Tamandua tetradactyla: one gene and its partner. The protein of the gene in region 1 purifies or fractionates together with the protein of each later gene. This does not show direct contact. Links are inferred from orthologs where the notes say so. Each region holds a gene or a part of one and is shown on either strand. Other genes may lie near its edges.

Evidence for each region. Proteins that work in one complex are often made in the same cells at the same time.
Region 2: the proteins of SMC1A (region 1) and USP13 purify together in Homo sapiens (affinity purification with mass spectrometry; 5 studies listed by BioGRID and IntAct, with this or other methods). This does not show direct contact. The link is inferred for Tamandua tetradactyla from reciprocal best matches to the Homo sapiens genes SMC1A and USP13.

The regions. Positions count from the first base shown.
Region 1 is NC_135353.1:116,100,466-116,111,272, reverse strand, and holds the start of SMC1A (structural maintenance of chromosomes protein 1A), read right to left. Parts: upstream 4,254-10,807; 5' UTR 4,149-4,253; coding exon 4,040-4,148; intron 3,760-4,039; exon of another isoform or gene 3,704-3,759; coding exon of another isoform or gene 3,664-3,703; intron 443-3,663; coding exon 254-442; intron 143-253; coding exon 30-142; intron 1-29. Other genes in the region: RIBC1 (RIB43A-like with coiled-coils protein 1), read left to right, coding at 8,994-9,110. UniProt on the Homo sapiens protein: Involved in chromosome cohesion during cell cycle and in DNA repair. Central component of cohesin complex. The cohesin complex is required for the cohesion of sister chromatids after DNA replication.
Region 2 is NC_135331.1:78,116,999-78,127,560, reverse strand, and holds the start of USP13 (ubiquitin carboxyl-terminal hydrolase 13), read right to left. Parts: upstream 4,210-10,562; 5' UTR 4,161-4,209; coding exon 4,002-4,160; intron 1-4,001. UniProt on the Homo sapiens protein: Deubiquitinase that mediates deubiquitination of target proteins such as BECN1, MITF, SKP2 and USP10 and is involved in various processes such as autophagy, endoplasmic reticulum-associated degradation (ERAD), cell cycle progression or DNA damage response.

The DNA.
Region 1 (10,807 bases):
GATATCTAACAATTGTTAAAAAGGTCCACCTGGAAGACGAGGAAGTTACGAGCTTTGATGAGAATACCCAACTTCTCTAATTCTTCACTGTATTCATGTAGTTGGACCACTTTGTTGTTGATCTTGTACTCAGAAGAACCCCCTGCAAGACAATACATGAGTCAGCTGAGGATCATGCCTCCTTCCTACCCCAACCAATTAGTCCAGCCACCTCCTAGAACCCAACAAGAAACTTCTGGCAAGCCTCACTCACCAACAATAACACGGGCAAAGGTACGGTCCTCAGCCCCCTCCTCAGAGTAGACCATACTGACAAAGGCCCGGTTGGCAGCTGGCTTGCCTACAGGAGCTCCATGGATCAGGTCCCGCAGGGTCTTTACCCGCAGGTTGCTAGTCTTTTCACCCAGCACAAAACTGATGGCATCCATGAGATTTGACTTACCTAAGAGAAGAGGGAACAAAGCAGAAGAGGGACGTCAGGAAGAAAGAAAAAGAGTAAAGGAAGCATTGACAGAGCAGGAATGTTTCCTAATCATCCAGTGATCAGACTAATGGAAGAGTACTCATAAAGACTGTGTCCAACCTAAGTGCTGGGTCAAAGGCTTAGGAAAATAGTCCTGCTGCAGTTGTTATTCATAATAAACAAAACTAGAAACCCACATAAGGAAATGGTATCTTCACAGAATGGATTGTTCTTTAACCTTTAATGATGTGGGTTCATGCCAATTGGTGAAACAAGCAAAATCCAAAAGTTAATATACACTTTGACTGCAACCATGTCAAAAAAAAAAAAAGGCATGCTCCTCTTGTGATGAAATATGAAGTACACAGCATCATCTATGAAGTATTTGGCCAAATCTAAATCTAAACAAACCCTTAGACCTACTTTCTAGTTTGCAGGTAATATAGCAGATAGCAAAATATGGTAAATGACACCATGAGGAAACTTTCAGACAAACACAAAACTTTCTATAAGATAACTGGCCTGGTCTTTTCAAAAAGTACCTTTAAAAAAAAAAAAAAAGGCCAGGGGAATTGTTCCAGAACACAAGAGATTACTGAGACATAACCAGATGCAGTACACAAACTTTGATTGGATCCAGCCCCCCCCCCCCCCCCCCCCCGCAAAACCAAAAAAGACATTCTGGGTGCATTTAGGGAAGCTTACATATAAATATCATGATGTAAGGAAACTGATTTTCTTAGGTGTGATAATGGTATAGTGGTAATATAGGAAGATGATGATTTTAGGAGAAGAATACTGATGGACTAAGGGGTAAAGATTCCCATTAAGTCTGCAATTTACTTCCAATGATTAGGAAAAATACATACATATGTTTGGATATTTTCATAATATAAACGAGGGGAGAGGAAGGCACAAGGAAAAAATATGAAAATGTAAACAGTTTAACAATGGCTGCTTCTCGGGAGGAAACTATGAAGCTGAGAATGGGAAATCTCCTTTTTATTGTATACCTTTGAGATCGTTTGAATTTTATACCACGTATTAGCTACTCAAACAAACAAACAAGACTTTTAACATTATGAGTGGCTATGTTTTCAGTAATGGAGTTAGAGTTTTTGTTTTCTTTAGCTTATAATCAGAAAAAAAATTTTTTTCTTTTAAAGTTTAGACAGGAATTATGTGGGGGGTATTGGAGAGGAACAGTTTAATCACTATAAATTCTATCTCAAGATACTTCCCAAACATGTCATATGATAGACTGAGGTCCTGATTTCCATTGCCTTTCCACCTAGTCATAAAAATGACACTGGAAGTCCTTCCTTGCAAGCAGTATAAGACAGTGATCAGGCACTAGTAAAACAGACCAAGTTCTAATCTTAGTTTAACTACCTCTTACTGTGTAACCTTGAACAAACTGCTTACTATTTCTGACCTTCCATTCCTTCGTCTGGAAAATACAAAAAAAAACATCACTTATAGGTAAAGCATCTAAAACAATGCTTGGCACAAAATTCTCTGTTGGAGCAGCAGGAGCATAGGCTTTGAAGAACAATGGCAATGTCTGAGGGACTATCCAGCAAGTTATCACAACTCTTTATGTCTCAGACTCTTCATCTATAAAATGGGGATAATGGCATCTCCTTCCTAGGATCATTGTGAGAATTTAAATGTAAAGGATCCCAATAACTAAAATACCTGACACACAGTAAGTACTCAGTAATTGTTGGTCCTATTCTAACTCAGGTCTGGACCCTTAGCTCTGTCTACCTCATCACAGCAGGACTACAGCACATCACAGAGACTAGGAGTCAGCCTTTTAGGCACCAATTTCCAACCTTTGGGTTTCTTGAATGCTCTCCAGGGATGATGAGAATATCTCACAACCAAAGGTCTCTCTACACACAATTATTCAATATTGCAAAATTTTCATAACATGTAATATGATCTGGAAACTAGAATTACAAAAATAACAAAACATTTAAAGGAATGTCTCCTTCAGAACACTCATAGACCAGTGATACAAAGATACAAAAATATATATGATGAATACAAGACAGAAGAAAATAAACACCGTGTCCTAAGTGTCTATTGTGTATCAGAGAGGAAGAGCAATTGTTGATTGAGGGGAATCAAGGAATGCCTTCTGGAGAGATGAACCTTGAAGAATATGGTTGCGGAGGGAGTAGTCGGGCTAAGGGCCTTTCTGAACTGCTGAGGGGACTGAGTGTCAAGAGGTACATCCTGGCTCTTTCCACAGAGGTCACTGCACCAAAACCCCAAGAAATTGGAATGGGACCCGCCCCTCAGTATTAGCTAGTCTAGACTAGCAGTTCTTGAAGGGGGGACAGAGGTTGTGATTTTGCCTGCCAGGGGTCATTTGGTACTGTTTAGAGATATTTTTCATTGCCACACTCAGGGAACGAAGGTGCTTGTGTAAATCTAGAGGACAGAATCAGGGATCCTGCCAAACATCCAACAATGCACAGGAATGTCCCCACAACAAAGAATCTTCCCAACCAAAATGTCAATAGTGTTGCTGTTGAGTAACCCTGGTTTGGGCAAAGCCAGGTAGGAATCTAGGAAAGGTATTCAGTATGAGGTACTTCAGCAAAGGCTAGAAAATTATTCAGGTAGAACATCTCTGGGGTGAAGCAGTACAGCAGGATTCAAATGGACCACTTCTGGGGTTAAGTGGGAGAACCCATGGTGCATCATTTAGAGATGGGGAGTTGAGATATGACACAGATGCCTCACCTGACCACCTTTTCTTTCTAAAGACACCCTGCAAATCACTCTACCACATCAACGGCTGGTCTTATTTCTTTCAAACCACCCATCACAATCTAAAATATCTTCTTTCCTCCTTCTTTGTCATCGTCTTTCCCCACTAGGATACTAAGTTCCTAAGAGCACAGACTTGTATTTCGTTCTCCGCTGTTTCCACAGCACTTTAGACAGCCCCTGATAAGCAGTTAGCATTAAAATATTTGGTAAGCGAATGAGTACCGGCTTTGGACAGTTTCAGTGGTAGGTACGGGGCAAGTCTGAGGCACCACACCACTGAAGTGAAAGGAGAAGGGGATCCAAGCACTCTGAAGACGCGAGATTCAAAAGTGCCGCCTCCTGAGAAAAGTGAAAAAAGGCGGCTTTGGGGCATACCAATGCGAGGCAGAAGGGGATGCTGAGCTAAGGCTCACCGTTTAGTACCAAAGGCCACGGGAGGAGATTACCAACCATCCTACAGCTTCCGGAGGGATGAAGCGGGGTAAGGGAAGCCTGTGCCAAGGGGGTTGAGCGGGAGGGGTAGTGGGCGGGACAAAGTAGAGTTCGGCCGGTACCACTTGGGTTAGAGCGGGGCCGCTCAAAGCGCGGGTAACTGACACTCGGGAAAGAGGTTCGCGTCAAAGCACCCAAGCAGGGAGAGCGAATTCGGGCCGAACTCCTTCAGGAGGAATAAGGAAACCCGTAGGGTTTGCAACTTTTCAGGTGGCACGGACTGGGCTGTACTACTCTGCCGCCGGACAGGGGATCCAGGCCGGGACCAGAGCTGGGCCGCAGCCGGGTTTTTCTCACCAGAGCCATTGGGTCCAATGATGGCGGTGAACCTCTGAAATGGTCCTATGATTTGTCGCCCCTTGTACGACTTAAAGTTCTCGATCTCAATCAGTTTCAGAAAACCCATGGCGGCAGCGGTACGAGGAGCCGCGCCGTACGCCAGGGAAGTGGGGTAACCTGCGCGGGAAACACCGCAGTGCAGGCCGGGCGGACGGCAATCCTCGCGAGAAAAAGTCCAAGCCAAACGGGATTTCCTACTTCCGTCGCGAGCAGGAAATAAAGGGCGGGGCCTTTGGTCTGGAGTGGAGATTTTGTTAATCTTTTGCCGGGGCGTGAGATTACGGCGGGTGGTTGGGTCCCGCCTCCTTTTCTTGTTGCCGTGGCAACACAAACCGCTGCAGTCGCCGGCCAAGTCTTAGAGGAGGCAGTGCGGAGAGGTCTCAAAGCGAAGTTTAGCATCTGAGGGGGCAGGCGGGCCCAGAGCCCACGCCTGCTGAGAAGTTCAGAACTCACAGCAGGGTCAGGCTCCTCAGGGCAAGAGTAGGGTGGGAGCTAGGCTCTTGCCTTTAGCTTGTTCGGCCAAAAGGCTTGAACAAAAACTGGGTCGGAAATTGGAAGGACCCCGGGGAGGGGCGGGCTGAACCAGGAGGGTGGGAGGAAGGATTCCGAATTCGGTGAGTTTAGACCTTGTCTAGGGTGGGACGGGGTTTGAAGCGAGATGGGAGTGTGAAGGGCGCTGGGGGGTGGGGGTGGACTCCGGGTGGCAGAGATACGGACTAGTGAAGGTTATGACCTGACGTACTGCCCTATCCACTGCCTTCCGCCTCCCGTCCTCCAAAGTTGAGAGACTGCCGCTGTATTCGAAGAACAGATTTGAACCTAAACCACTTGACTACTTGAAACCAGATTCAACCTGGAAGCTTCAAAACGGAAACTCCTGACTGAGAAAGGTATTTTGTGTGTACCTCCGGAAGTCAGTATCCCTAAGTCAGTGCTCCCCATCTCATTCTTCCTCCCTTCTCCGTCTGGCTCTCCTTTCATGCCTCCCCCTTCTCTTTCCCTCTATTCCATTCCCCTCTATGCCCCATCCCTTGTTTGCCCCCTTCTTCCCACTCTGCTTTGTCCCCTTCTCCTACTCACACTCTCCCCTTTAACTTCCTTCCTCAGGGTAGGGAGGGATTTTGTAAATAAAAACTACTAAGCTTAAAGGAGAAGATTGGTAAAACTGACTACATTCAAATTCATCAAAATACACTATGAGAAAAGTGAAAAAATGGGTAAGTGCCCAGAGAAAACTTCTTAAGTATTGATAATGTTCTGTTTTCTGGGTGCTGTGGAGGATTTACAGGTGTCCATTTTATCGTTGTGCTTCATAACTTCCATGTGTGTTAACCATATCCCTTTGTATGCATTGTTACCATAAAATTAGTATAAAGTAATAATAAAGTGAAAAGATAAGCCACAAATTTGGAAAAGAAAGTCTGCATTATAAAGTGTTGGCAAGTATGTGGACTGACCAAAACTATATACAGTACACTGCTGTAAAAGTGTAAATTGGTATGATTTCTTTTGGAAACAATTTGGCATTATCTTGTAAAGTTAAATACACATACACCATATGGTCCAGTACTTCCACTCTTAAATCTATGCTAGAGAAACTCTCCTACCTGTATGTACATCTCTTTTAATCTAAAAGTTCTTCCTCCTCTTTCTCTTCTCATTTTTTTTTTAATAAACTGGGTTGTTCGTTCTGCAGAGTCCTAATCTCTCTTGAACCTATTTAAATCAAGCTTTCATCCCCACGGTTCTACCAAAACTGTTCTTGTCTAGGTCATCAGTGACACTGATGTTACTAAATCATTCTGTTCTCAGGCCTTATCTTACTTAACCCATCATCAGTTAGTTGATCACTCTCTCCTCCTAACAGTACTTTCTTCACTTAGCTTCTAGGACACCATACTCTTCTGGTTTTCTCTTACCTTACTAACTACTACTCCATCTTAGCATCCTATGCTGCCTCCTCCTCTCCCTGTCTCCCCTCCTCTAACTTCCTAATATTCTCAGGCAATCTTAGCTATCTACCCTCACTCCCTTAGAGATTTAATACAGTCTTATAGCTTCAAATTCCCTTGTTTCAGTCAGGATAGGCACAATTATGCTGGGGTAACAAACAATCCCCAAATCTCAGTAGTTTATAAAAACAAAGGTCTATTTCTTACTCATGCTTCTTCTCCAGTGTGGGTTGGCTGCATCTCTGCTCTATATCATCTATCCAGAACTTAGGCTGAAGAAGTAGTCCTTGCCTGGGACAGTATCATAGCAGAGAGTGAAGAGAAAAAAAATAAGTGACAGATCATGTAATGATTCTTAGTTCTGCCTGAGAATGACACATGCCAGTTTTTCACATTGCATAAGGCAAAGCAAATCACGTGGCTAACCCTGACGGCAATGAGGTAGGGCTGTATAATCCTTCTGTAGAGAGCAGCAGCACATGTTTCTGAACAATAATAAAATTTACCACAAAACTTGTATGTCATTAATTCACAGATTCATATTCTTAGCTCATACTTCTCTCCTAAACTCTAGACATTTCCAACTCTCAAACATATCCTAAACTAATCTCTTGATTATCCCTCCACACCACACTTGTTCTACCTACACAGACTGTTCACTTGATACCAACTCCATCCCTCATGATTGCTCAGGCCCAAATCCTTTAAATCATTCTTGATCTCTCTGTCTCACACCTCACATCCAATCCATAAGAAAGTCCAGTTGACTCTGCCTTCAAATATATCTGGAATCTATCGTCTTCCTGCCACCTCTGCTGCTACTGACCAGATCTAAATCACCATCATTTCTTTCCTGGTCTACTACAATAATATCCTGACTGGTCTTCCTGCTTCCCTCCCTTCAGTCTATTCTCAACAAAGCTGCCAGATTAACCCTTTAAAAATCAAAACCAGGACTCATCATTACACTGTTCAAAACCCTATTCATTTCTCTCAAAGCCTTTACAATGACCTACAAAGCCCTACATGATTTAGCCGCCCATTTTCTGTCATTTCCTACCTACCTCTCCTTCACCCACTCCAGCCACACCTGCCTCTTCGGTGTTCCCTTGAACATGTGCCTCGCATGCTTACACCTGAAGGCCTTTGCACTTGTTCCCTATCTGGAATGCTTTCCCCTCAGCTAATTAGGTGGCTAGTCCCCTCACCTTCTTCAGGTATTTGCTCAAATGCTACCTTTTAATTATGTCCCCCCTCACTTCCATATTTAAAATTGTAATACTGCCCCATTTCCTGGGCATTTCCAATCCCCTTTATATCCTGTTCTATTTTTTTTCCCATAGCATTTATCTTCTTACAAAATATTTAATGTTTTACTCTACGGTCTGTCAGCCCCCACTAGAAAGGAGCTTACACAGGGGCCAGGACTTTTGTCTTTTCTTGATGCCTCCCACAAGCTTAAAGTAATGCCTGATCATTAGAAGGCACTCCATAGATATTTGGTAAACAACAGAATGAACGCTGAGTGAAAAAAGCAAAATGCAGAGGAATTCAGAATGACATAAGTTCAAAAACAAGAAAACTAAAAAAATATTGTTCAGGAAATCATAGATACACCAAGTATATTTATAAGTGATAGGGAATGGTAACATTTTGGATGGGATGAGAGTGAGAAAGAAGAGATACAGGACACCTCAGCATTATCAATAATGTTCTTAAGTTGGGGACTTGGTACATAGGTCTCTATTTTAACATACTTTCTAACTTACATATGAGTTATATCTATTCTGTTGTATATATCAAATATCTCACATTGATAAAATGGTGAAACAGTGAGCAGGAACTAGCTATAGGAGTTGAAGAATGGAAGAACACCATCTGTAAAGGCCCTGAAGTGGGAACAGTTATTCTGCTGGAGGAGCTGACAGGAGGCAAGTCCACGTAGAGCACTGTGAGAAGGGGAGACAGTAGTATGAGGCGAAGTAAAAAGGTCTGCACAAACCAGATCTTGAGAGCCACAGGAAGGAGTCTGGATCTGATTCTCAGGGCAGTGGGAAGGAATTGGAGGATTTTAAGCAGGTGAGAGGCATAATCAGATTCCTTTGAAAGTTTTTTTACTGGCTTTGGCTGGCCCACAGGCAAAAAGAAGGATTCCCCAAATAAGATGGAACATGGGCAAATTTAAGACCTCAAGCCTCTCATTTGACTAGAGAATAAGAAATAAAAATAAAGAAAGGGGAAATTTTATTTTAGGCAAGAAAGCTTACTCTGGTTTCTGCATGATTCTGTGGGCTATAGGAGACAACAGAGGAAGCTGGAGATCAAAATGGAGACTTGCAGTAATCCAGGAAGGTGATGATGGTGGCTTGTACCAGACAGACTCTATCCCAAACAGACTGAGGATATATTTTGAAAGAAGAGGGAGTGAGGGAAAGGAGTATCAAAAGATACCTACTGCATTTCTGACCTGAGCAACCTAGTGAATGGTGGTGCCATTTACAGAGATGGTGAAAACGGAGTAAAGCATAATGAGAATGAGGGAGTGTTGTAAATGAGTTTGAGGCTAGAAGTGAGCAGGAGTCAGATCATGAAGTCTCTTATACATTGGGCAAAGAGGTGGGACTTTAACTTGTAGGAAATAGGTACAAGGTTTTAAGCTGAGGAATACCATGGTCAGATTTGCTTCAGAAAGATCACTATGGTAGTCAAATCAGAGAAAACTAGAGAATGCAACACTGGAGCTAGGGAAGCCAGTGAGGCTCCTTGGCATAACAGTCTGTCACCAAATTGTGAGGCTAAGGGTGGTGACAGCAGAGTTGGAGGACACGGATATGAAATATATTAGGAAGTAAAATCAGTAGGAATCAATAACTGGTGGGATATTGTAGGGAGAAAGAAAGGGGGAACATAATCGATGATGAGCAACACTGATTGGCCATCCACCTCACCCTTGCTCCAGGATGCATAAGGTAGACCTGTCTTCAGATCCTAAGGAGGCAGCAGCCATTGAAGCTAGAAGAAACCGAGAAAAGGAACGACAGAGCCAATTCTTCAATGTGCGGAACCGAGTTATAGGGGTGAGTGGGCAGCAGAGACTATTTCTTAGAACCATGGGCTATCCCACTCTTGCACTTGGAGAGGGACATACCAGGACCAACTGTAGCCCTTACCCTGACTTAAGCAGGCCCTAGGGCTGGAAAGAAAGGAGAGGGGGAGAAGACACCCACCTCACTGGCCTGGGAAGGGCCTGAGGGGTGGGGGGGTTACAGGGAAAAAGACTGGGGAAGGGGGGCTAGTGACAGCTAACTCTTCTTGGGTTAGCTCTGGGCCATATGCCCTGGTTCTTGAGAGAGAGTAAACATGGAGACAAAAATGGTCTAAAGAATATTTGGTTTTGAGTTGTATATGTTAGTACAATACAGGTGTATTTTTGCTGTTAAAAGGAATATTTAGTATTATATAATGCCTAAACTACATTTGGAAGACTATACAAGAAACTGTTAACCAGACCAAGGGATAGAGATGGGAGGGACACTTATTTTTCATAATCTGTGTTCTTTTTCCTATTTTGAAATGATTTAGATGAATTATAATGAAAATATAAATAGAAAATATTGATAATTTAACAACAACAACAAAAAGACTGCTGGGTTAGTTGATGGAGGAAATGCTGCATGGTACTCTGGGAGTGACACCATATGTATGTTCAAAGGCCAAGTCTGCTGTTATTAGATGTGCGACTTTGGATAAGTCACCTGTCTTCTGAGTTCCAGGCCCCTCCTATGTAAAATGAGGCTAAGAAAAGGAAATGTTGAGGAAATGATTAACATAATGGCAGCAGCTCTGAAAACTTGAGCTAGAGCCTGACAAGAGTAAGTAGTCTGCTGAGGGGTGAGTGTTCTAATTCAGATCCAGTTAGCAAACGTTTTCTCAGGGCCTGCTCTGTGCACCAAGCACTGTGTTGGGCAGTAGGGATACAAAGATGACCAAGGCTCAGTCTTTGCCCTTAAAGGGCTCATAGTCTAATAAATGAGATAATAAATGTAGGCAAACTTCCATGTAATGTGGACAGTAGGTCCTAGATTCTGTGGCAAGGCACCAGCCTGAGGGGTCAGTAAAGTAAAGCTTGAGCTGGTTTTGAAGATGAAGTTCAGGTAAAGAAGGGAGGAAAGAGTGTTCCAAGTGGAGGGAACAGTTTAGTAAAGGCTTATAAGTTCAAAACAGCCTAAGATGTGCAAGGAACAGTAAGTCAGCTCCTAAGGCTAGTTAGTATTAGGGTGGAATAGGGGAAGAGCACAGTAACAGGTGACACCGAAGAAGGAAGGCTAGATCACTGAGGAACTTAGAAGCTATGCTCAAATGTTGAGAATCTATTCAATCTAGGCACTGGGGATCTATAGAAAAATTTTGAAGCAGGCAAATTAATAACTAGTTTAGGTTGGGATGGGAAAGATTATGTTGCATACATCTTTCTACAGTTAGAAAAAAAAGAACTAAAGATACAATGACAAGTAAATGCAACATCTGATCCTGGAGGAGAAAAAGCTTAAAGCACACTATTGGGACATATGATGATAGATGATTAATAGATAAATGGCAAATGTGGCAAAATGTGAAAATTGGTAGATCTGGGTATCTGGAGGGGTAGGGGTATGATGGAGTTCTCTGTATAGGTTTTTATTTTTGCAACTATCCTTTAAGTTTGAAATTATTTCAAGATATAAAAATTATAAGCAGTTTGTGATAGAGCATCCAAAAGCCTCTGCTCATCCCT
Region 2 (10,562 bases), on another chromosome or scaffold:
CATCTTACAAAGGTTCCCAGGAAGGAGAAGAACCAGCAGTAGCAGCTCATCATCACCAAGAGGTCTCGGAGCTTCGGAGGAGAGTGGGAGGCCTTAATGGGCTGTGTCTCATCCTCTCAGGCCACCTCTCTGACCCCTGTGTACAGCTGATTGCCACAACAGGTGGAGGCTAACAGCCTAGCCTGGACTTCCCAGAGGATCTCTTACTTCTCTGCTGCCAAAGATCTGGGAAGCCTGTGGGAGCTGTTCAGCTTCATGGCACAAAGGTCAACCTGGAAGAGTGAGGGACTTTCCACCCCCCTGGGGCAATCCTTGACCTATGGGGGATGGAGCCACTGGGTAATATTCCCCTCTTCCAGGTCTCAGGTGGTCAGTTCTGACGCACATTTTACCCTGCCTCCAAGTCCCCAACAGGACCGAGCACCAGTTACCCGCCATGGTGACTAGCTCAATAACTCATCTAGGATTGAATTACCTTCCTTCCCTTTGTCACTATTCCTTTTGTCACTATTCCACCTCTGTTCCCTAGGTACCTTTCCAAAATAAACGCCTATACACAGAGTCCCAGTCTCGCTCTCAGCATTTTCAGCAACCCCAAGCCAGACAGTGATTCAAATCCCAGCTCTGCCACTTACTATAAGACAAGTTCTCCATTCCTGTTAGTGCTAGGGGAGGGGCATAATTAGCACAAAGGTGGCATGGCACCATGCGTCCCTAATGTCCCTAAGCACACCTAGTAGTACTTCAAAAATATGAGTAACAAAGGTAAAAGGAAATGAAATGGTAGCTAAATAAGGGAAGGCAGACTATAACTGCCGCATTTTATGATATAGACTCTGTGTAGACCTTCAGAGGAAAGGATGAAGTCAAAGCAGAAAAGGGTGGCCAAGAAAGAGCCCTGAAGGATGAACAAGAGAAGAAAGTGGTCTTGGAAAAGGAAATTAGTCTCACCCACTGAAAAAACAGACACTGGTCTCCCCAGAAGGGCAATCTAAAAATGGAGAGGAGGGAAGGCAAAGTATGTTCCCATCAAGTAGAGTCTCAACAACCAGAGAGATTGAGGTTTGAAGGTGGGTCTGGGACATGGAAAAACCAAACCTCACTTGTGGTGGTTTGGAGCAGCACATGCCCCAGAAAAACAAGTTCTCAAACTTGCACCATTCCTGCGGGTATGAGCCCACTGTAAGGACTTTTGATGAGGTAAAATGTGCCCCACCTCAATCTGGGTGGATCTTACTCCTATTACTGGAGTCCTTTATAAGCAGAATGAAATTCAGACAGAAAGAGAGAGAAAAACCATGAAAATCAAGATACTGACAGCGGAGTCTGGAAGAGAAGGGACAGGCCACGAGAGGCCACCACGGGCACTGCCACGTGACAGGGAGCCCAGCGCCCAGGACCACTGGCAGCTGGCCCCAGAGTGCCAGTCTTGGAGAAGAAAGCATCACCTTGATGACACCTTCACTTGGACTTTTTTCCTTCCCTCAAAATCAGCAGCCATTAAATTCTCATTGCTTAAGCCAGCCCACTGCACGGGATTTACTCAAACAGCCGAGGAAACTAAAATATTACTCACTCATCTCAAAATAACTGCTATTGAGCACCAACATGCTAATCCCTAGAAGGTGGAAACAGAGGAAGGAGGGGAATACTGAAAAGAGTTATCACACTGTCGGCTCAATATTCAAAGCCCACAAAGGTGAAAAATGGCAAAAATGTGAACATGGTGCCTTAGACACAGTAGGTACATTGCAAAAAATCAGTGATACACAGTCTACCTCCATACCACCTTAAACCTACTACCCACACTAGCTTTCAATAACTGATACATAAAATTAAGATCCTTTTCCAGGTATGCAAGACACCCCATCATCTACTCTCCACTTCTTGTTTCTTGCCAAATCAATCTTTTTTCTTTCAAATACATTACAGGCAAATAACAAGAAAACATTCACATTTTATGCATTTGCACGTGTAAGTTTTCCCTGCCTGGAAGGTTGGGCTCCTTTATTTCTAGCCATCACTATCTATGATCTTCAAAAACATCCACTGCAAGAAAGTTGGGGGATTTTTCACTCAACTAGTCTCGATCTTTTCTCAACCAAAGTTCCACAGTCCCATAGCACTTGTGGAATAAAGTTTCTGGCATGTTTTGCACCAATGGATTTTGCTCTGTGAGGTTCTTATAACAACGCAGGTACAAACTGGCACAAAGCAGGGGCTCAAGACACCCTACTAGATTCCTGACAAAGTGTTAAGTACCACAAGGAAAGACCTTGCATTATCACGCACTGTGCTTTAAGCAAACTTGTTATAAAACCTTCCCTCTCTTCCTCCCTTAAAACATAAATAATGAAATATACTGATGCACTGGCTTTGTAAATAAATCCAGTCACCTCCAAGGAACTATTGTGATATGAGGGAAAATATTTTATATGAGACAAGATGATTCCAAAATAGTGTTTGACACATGGTAAGCACCAATAACTATTAGTGGAAATGAATTTTTTAAATTAGCGTTCTCTCACACCTGCCACACACTATGTGGTAAAGATTCCCAAAAAGAAAGTTTGTAAGCAGAACTTGAAAAGCCAACCAAACCAAATGTAGAGAAAGTAGTTTTGCTAATTTTACACACTGTGCTCTCCTGAACACTCAGTCCACTTTCTTCTTCCTGAAGTTCACAATTGGTCAATTGTTTAAGTTAGGTGGGACCATTATCCCTCTTCACCCTTAGGAGTTGCTGGTGGGAAGACACCCAACACTGGAAACAAAATCTCAAAGTGTCACTTTCATATACTTTGTTGATAACACGATTTAAAGGCACTGCTGACAGTTGTCTTATTAGTACCACCACTATATATTAAATACACAAGGCATTAAATACAACCATTTCACTTCATTCTACATGGATCTCTTTGAAAGAAAAAAATAATTAACAAAAGGTGAGATTTTATCACCAAATGATCTGGGATTCACATAAAAGAAAAGCTAAACATCACAGAAAGGATACTAATTCTGGGGTTCCAATATACCAAAGAAAATTGCTTGGAAACCAACCAGCACCAACTCACAAGATAATAAAGAATGCTTTGGAAAATGTGTCACTCATTTGTTTTTGCTTTTACTTTTTTTTTCCCCCTCCAATGAGGGGGAAATACATAATATGAATAAATGTGTTGAACTATCGTGAAGTCTCAGTCGTCGCAATCAATGCACCTCCAAACGCTCTGGGATCTGCTGGGCGACACATGAGATCTAAAGTGTGTGGATAAAAATAACCCGGTCCTCAAAAAGACATGAGAAACGCCAGACAGCTGAGTCACTTGGAAGCCCATTTTGACTTGTGAAAGGAGCATTCACCCTAGGTCTCATCACACTCACACGCGCACGCACGCGCGCGCGCACACACGCAGCTAAACCCACCGCCAAGCGCCCTGGGTAGCGGGCGGTGATCGAGCCTCACTTCCCTCCAGTCTCTGAGGTCACGACTTGGGATTGAACTTTTAATCATTGATATTTGTGCATATCAGTTCCAGCGGCCTCCTTTTTAAGGGGTGAGGGAAAGGCCTTAATGACCCATTCGACCCCGCAATTCTGCTGGAAAGGAGGTGTGGAGGGGAAGCGGGTAGTGGAGGCAGCCCCCGCTCCCGGGGTACCTCAGACCCGTCCCGGAGTGGGGAACCTTGGGCCAAGCGCCCCGTCCCAGACTCAGGGCAGGCTATGTCCGGGGTGGGGGTCAGTCTCTGCATCCACCACCCCCAATCCTCGCCTGAGGGCGCGTCCCCAGCAGCGGGAATCTCTCACGCAGCCAACCTCACTGGGCGGGCGAACTGCGGCGGGGACGCGGCCCGGGCCAGAGGAGGCGCCCGCTCGGTACTGGCCGAGCCGCGGGGCCCTAGCCCGGCCAGCGCGCGGAGGCGAAGGTCCCCGGCCGCCCCGCGCCCTGCTGCCGCCGCCTCCAGCACCACTGCCCCGGGCCCCGTGATCCTTCCACGTACCGGGGAGTCGTAGGAGAAGGCACACTCGTTCTTGTAGACCCGGTCCCCGGACCTGGGCACGCGAATCGTGGGCATATGGGGCACCAGCAGCTCGCCCAGGTCCCCCGCAGCCATCTTCCTGCCGCCCGGGATGCCGAGCAGGGCACCCCGCCGCTGCATGCTTGCGCCGAGCCGAGCTGGGTCTGCCCGCGCCGTGGAGCGGCCGGGCCCGGGCGGGCGGCCGGAGCGGAGCCGGGCGGGGAGGGCGGCGATGGGCGGGAGCGGGTACCCGGGCCTGGGGCGGGGAGTGGGGGGGACGCTGCTATTTTTACTCCAATGGCGGAGCGCCGGCCCCGCTGCGGCATCGGGCGGGGCGCGGGGTGGGGGGGCGCCGGCCGCAGCGCACCGGGGAGGGTGCGCGGGGGCCTGAGAGGGTCTCCGCTAGGCTGTGGGGGACAGAGAGGGACGGATGGGGACTAGGGGTCTGGTGGGGGGTGGAGGGCGTACCCAGAGCCTTGGCACGGAGGAGGAAGCTGGAGGGAGCCCCGGAAAGGAGACCGGGGGGCTGCGCCCCCCAACATCTCAGGGCCGATCGCGGTCTTCTCTGTCATAAACCTCAGGGTGACCGGGAATACCTCCGAGGCAGCCTCCACAAGGAGCGGCATCTGGGGGTCTTTGAAAAGGCTGATTTTCTAAACGGCCGAAAATAGGAGCCGGGTCTTGGTGGGCCTGGGTAGGGATGGAATTCGCTGTGACGATCCAGAGTCTAACGTAGCAGCCCAAATCCACATCTGCCTGGTGCACCTCGGTTTTGCCTCGCCAAGCATTGTTCTTCACTTAAAAAAAAATCCGAAGCTCAATAAAAGAGAATAGAATAAGATCTGATGAGAATAGAGGCATATTTTGCATTAATAGACGTTTTTCTTGCATTTTGGGGGGAGTGGTTTTTTGCAGGGCGAGAGAAGTTTTTAACTAAAATTTTCTCTACCTTTGGAACGTCTTACGCGCGTTTCAAGGTCCGGGTTTAGAACTTTAATGGCCAGATCTGGAGTCCTATGCAGAACAGTACATATAGAACTGCCTTGCTCTTTCCGTTTCCCAAAATAAATAATGAATGGGTTTGGACTGGGAGGTTAGATATTTGTGAACAGAACATACCACACAGCATGCTCTCATTTTCTTTAAAAAAAAAAAAAAAAAGACTTTAAACTATGGGTTCTATTCTGTAACTACACTCAACTTACATACAAAGCGGAATACTATTACTCTACCAGTGAACAAAATTCAGAAATAGCAAGAAATAAAGTACACCAAAACACTGATTTCTATAAGCCTGTCCCAGATCAGCTAGTCCTTAAATTCCTCTTTCCTTTACATCATTTTTCTTTTACTCTTCCTGACTCTCCAGATCTGTGGGTTTCCTAGGAAGAAAGAGTTACCTGGAGTTTAATAGTACATAGACAGGCCAGCTTTCTCTTGCCTTGCTCCCTGTTGCACTAGTATTATCCCATCTTTGCGCAGATACTCTGAACCAGCTTTTATTTTGAATTTATTCTCACCAGCATATTACCTTCTAATAGTATCAGCACCTGCTGCAAGTTCATGGATGAAGAGTGCTTATTCAATTACAGAAGAAAACTTGATTCAAAACATTCAAAACTTGAAGTTTAAAATACTTTGAGATTAAATGTAAATTAAACCAATGAGACACATTTTTCATCCTTCAGGCTGATAAAGATACACCAAGTTGGGAAATGTATCCATCCTCAAATACATCGATGGAAGGAGTGAAAATGGTAAATCTCTTTGGTAGGAAATTTAACAAGACCAATCATACTGTATGTGCATATACTATTTTCCCCGCAGTTCCTCATCGGGACATTTATTCCACAGGTAAACTCACACTGTGTAGGGGTATCTGTTGGTATTTGTTCATAGTAATGAAAGAATGGGAACAATGTAAAGAGCTACCTGTAAGACATGGGTAAAATACAGTACCATTGAACAGGATGAAGGCACTCTGAATGCACTGATATGCAGAATCTCTGGTTACATTATTAGGTGAGAAAAGAGAAGTGCAAATCAGTGTGTAAAAGCAAGATACGTGCCAGGCTGGGGATATGCAGAAGAGCCTCTGGTACATCTTCTATACCAGGGACCTTTCTTTCAATTGTACAATAAGTGAATTAAATTTAATTTAATATTTAATTAAATTAAATTAAAATTATAAACATTGGCCCCCGATGTGTGTGTGTGTGTGTGTGTGTGTGTGTGTGTGTGTGTGCACGAACCATGCTGTTTGGCCAGGAAGGATACACAAGAAACTAGTGCAGTCAGCCTCTGTGGAAAGGAATAGGAAGGCCAAGGTTAGAGGGGGACTTACTACCACTCTCCTTTCCTGTACTGTTTACATTTTTATCATGCACAAGTATCGCTTTGAAAAATGATTAAAACTCAATTGTAAAAATAATCCAAGTTCAATACCTAGTAATATTAATAGAAGCTGAAGACAATTGTAGCATCATTATTAAAGTGCTTATAATGGCAAGCATGGAAAATGGTGATATTTGTGCAGCTCTCGGGAGGATACTTCTTGAAGCTGGAGGCTATTCGTGTGCGAGTGTCAGTCACTGCAGGCCAGGCAGGGGACTGGAGTCTCATCACAGCTGAATCCCATCTCTGTGCAGCAGAACTCCAATTGCACAACAGTTGGAAAATTCTAGGGAAAAATGGACCCCGTCTACTCAAAGATGTTTCTACAAATCTTAGAAAATATCCTTATTAAAATTACCATTTTCATATATTTGTAGTATGTTAGTTTAAAAAGAAACTTGCACAATAGCATAGCAACTGGGTAAAGGTAAACACACATGTTGAGAAGTCTGAAAAGACATGTACATATTTAATAGTTAGATTTAGAATTTGGTTATAGGATTTTTTTTCTATATTCCAATGTCTTCAATAATGTTACATTTGTTTTATAATATAAAAATGTATCAAGGGCGAGCAACCATGGCTCAGAGGCAGAGTTCTCGCCTGCCATGCCGGAGACCTGGGTTCGATTCTCGGTGCCTGCCCATGCAAAAAAAATGTATCAAGACAAAAAAGTTAGTAAAAGAAATATCACAGAATTAAGAGATTAAGTCTTAATCATGACATGTTTAGAGAAAAAAATCCCATTCCAACTACTGAATATTTTTACTTAATTTTTTAAGTTGCACATATGATTTATAACCAGATATTTTACTACTGGAACGGTTTCTAATGTGGATCTTGATCAATGAGCAAAAGTGAAGTAAGGATCAGTGAACAATTTTAACTTCCAACATAAGTTTAAAGAGATTTCAGAGAGCCTAAGACTAAGAACTGCATTTTTGCCAGGTTGAGATGTCCAGGCCACCACATGCTTTACTGGCCAAAGCCTCCTCCCCTAGTGTGCAGACAGGAGCCCGTGCACTCGAGCACCTTTCCAGTCTAGTACTCAGCTGTCCTTCAGACCTTACCCTCTATCCCTACACTTCTGGTAAGCTTGATTTACTGTCCCCTAAGAATAGATATATTTGTCTCCTGATAAAGGCCTTTCAAAGCTTAGTATTTATGTACTTGAAACTGTGGTATACCCCAGAACCATGTTCTTTCATCCTGACTCAACATTATTTAGGGTGGGACACATTGATTAGGCTGTTTCACAGAGATGTGACCCACCCAGTTGGGGGTGGGACTTTTAGATTAGGTGGTTTGCATGGCAATACATCTCCACCCATTCAAGGTGGGGTTGCTTATTGAAGTCCTTTAAGAGGGAACCATTTTGGAAAGAGCTCAGAGTCAAGAGAGACAAGGACAATTTGGAGATGCTTGGAGTGCCAACAGAGAGAGCAGACACCTTGGCACAGATGTGTGGAGATGCAGAGCCCAGCAGACATCACCATGTGCCTTCCCATGATATGCTAAGCAAACCAGAAGCCAGAAGGATCTATAGGGGCTGAGTGATCATTTTGAAACCAGAAGCCAGGAAAGAATGCAGATGCCAGCCACGTGCCTTCCCCTGTGACATGTGGCCTTTCTTGACTCAAGGTATCTTTCTCTGGATGCCTTAATTTGGACATTTCTATGGCCTTAGAACTGTAAGCTTGCAACTTAATCAATTCCGTTTTTAAAAGCTGTTCTATTTCTGGTATATTGCATTCCAGCAGCATTTAGCAAACTAAAACAGTATTTTTTCCATTAACCCTCTTCTGACTGCTCCAACCCTCAGTGACCTATTGTTAAAAATTGCAGCCCCTCTTGCCTACACCAGTTTTGGGATACTGCCTCGTGACATCTTTTGTACTATATTTAATTAGTCTTGGTTCCATGTCTGATCCCTCTATCTGGAAAGCAAACTCTGGAAGAAGTTACATTTCTTGATGTGACTCATGAAACCTTGTACATTGGGGGATGCTCAGTGTTTAGGAATATTGCCTGCCTGGAGTGGCTGTGCTCTGTTTATTTTCAACGCTAAATAAGTACCAAATGAAGGACTCGCATCAGTGATCTTGTAATAGATATATTTTGCAACCTACTTTGTGTTTTTTAGGTAAAATTCATTGCTGCACAAATATTATTCCAAGAACTGATGGAGGTTAAATTAAAATATGACATGAATATGACTAAAGCCATGAAGGGGAATTTGAATAATGGGAAAACTCGAGCTCAGATTTCTTCCAATAATGTGCAGTGATCTGGTAAAGTCATATATGGTAATAGCTTATTGTGGAGGCAGATCCATAAAATTCTGTATAAGGGCAGATAGCCTCCGCATGTAAAACAATAAGGCATTGGTTAAGAAATGTATGGCATTTCCTGTTTGAAAGAGTTCTATAAAGCCTTTTAAAATCATGTGGTATAAGAATATGCATTGACATGGAAAAATGATCACTATAATACAAACTTCAAAAGCAGACTGTAAATGAGCATATATATACTATTATTCCATTTAAGCACAAATGCACATATATACATATTCATAGCATGGCAAAAAGATTAGATTGTAATAAGCCATATGTTAACTGTGGTTATCTCTGGGTGATGAAATTAATCTTGGTTTTTTTTTTCTTTTGTGCTTTTCTTTGTTCTCTAAACCTTTTGCATTAAGCATCTATTTCTTTTTGTGAATAAGAGGGAAATAATTTATTAAAATACCACTGATCATATCAATTGTCCCTTTCATCTGCCCTCTTCTCTTACTTGCTGCCTCTTCACTACTCATTTAAAAGTGATCAGGTTTCTGCTGTTAGGTTTTTGGACAATCACCCTACTGAAAAGGTAGGTTCCCATTGGAACGAGCAGACTCTTTGAGTAGCTCTTAACTCAGATGAGGTAAGCTGTTATTCAGTTAGGAAGAAATCTGAGATGCCTACTCACCTTTTTGGTTTCCCGATGTGTAAGTCACCACAATCCTTTCAGGAGGCTGACTCATAAGGTACTCGCAGAGGTAGGCAGATTGTCTTTCAGACCATTCTGACAGCACTGTCCTCCTCATCCCATCACCATTCCCACACACACCCAGGACAACGTGTCCTCCACGCAGGCATAGAGGAGCTCTAGGTGAACACAGCAATAGAATACCAACCGCAGGACCAGGGGCTGCTTTTCAGGTTTCTCAATTAATGGGCAAAAGCAGCTATCTAAATACAATACACATCATCTCCAAAATCTTAAGAAGCTCAGCAAACATTGTGCCTCATTCTTGGTGAGCTCAAGACAAAAAACTTGCCCTTTGGAAGGAATTCACAGATTTTTCTAGAAGAGCAAACTCCCTGTTTTAGTCTCCTAGGCTGCTCAAGCAAATTTCATGAAATGGGTGGGTTCTAACAATGGGAATTTGTTAATTTATAGGGTTTTTTTTTCTTTTTTTTTAGGTGCATGGTCTGAGAGGAACCCAGGTCTCCCCCATGGAAGGCGAGCACTCTACCACTGAGCCACCATGCACCCCAGCTTAAAGTTTGAAGTAAAAGAAAGTGCAAATCAAGGTATCATCAAGGCAATGCTTTCTTCCCAAAGACCAGGCAATCCTTGGCTCCTCTACCACATGGCAAAGCATGTGGTGGCATCTGCTGGTCTCTCCCTTCTCTTCCAGTTTCATTGATTTCAGCTTCTTGCTTCTGTGGTTTTCTCTTTCATGTCTGAACTCTGTCTGCTTATAAAGGATTCCAGTAATAGCACTAAGACCCATCCTCATCGGTCTGGCCATACACACCTTAACTGAAGTAACCTCATTGAAAGGTACTGTTTAAAATGGGTCCACACTCATAGGAATGTGTTAGGTTTTAGAACACATTTTTCTGTTGTGCGTACAGCCTCAAACCACCAGAGTCCCCCTGGTTCTTTAGAATGTATTTTCTTATTCTTTGGGATGTATAACCTCAGTCTCAGGGCACCTGCACTTCCTGTTCTCAAGATTGTATCTGCACGCTGTCATCCCTGCAGGGATAGCATGATGTCCATGCTGTGGCCATGATCGAGAGCCAGAGAATAGCAGCCCATGGGCCAAATCCAGCCTGCAGCCTGCTGTTTGTAAATAAAGTTTTATGGACTTTATGG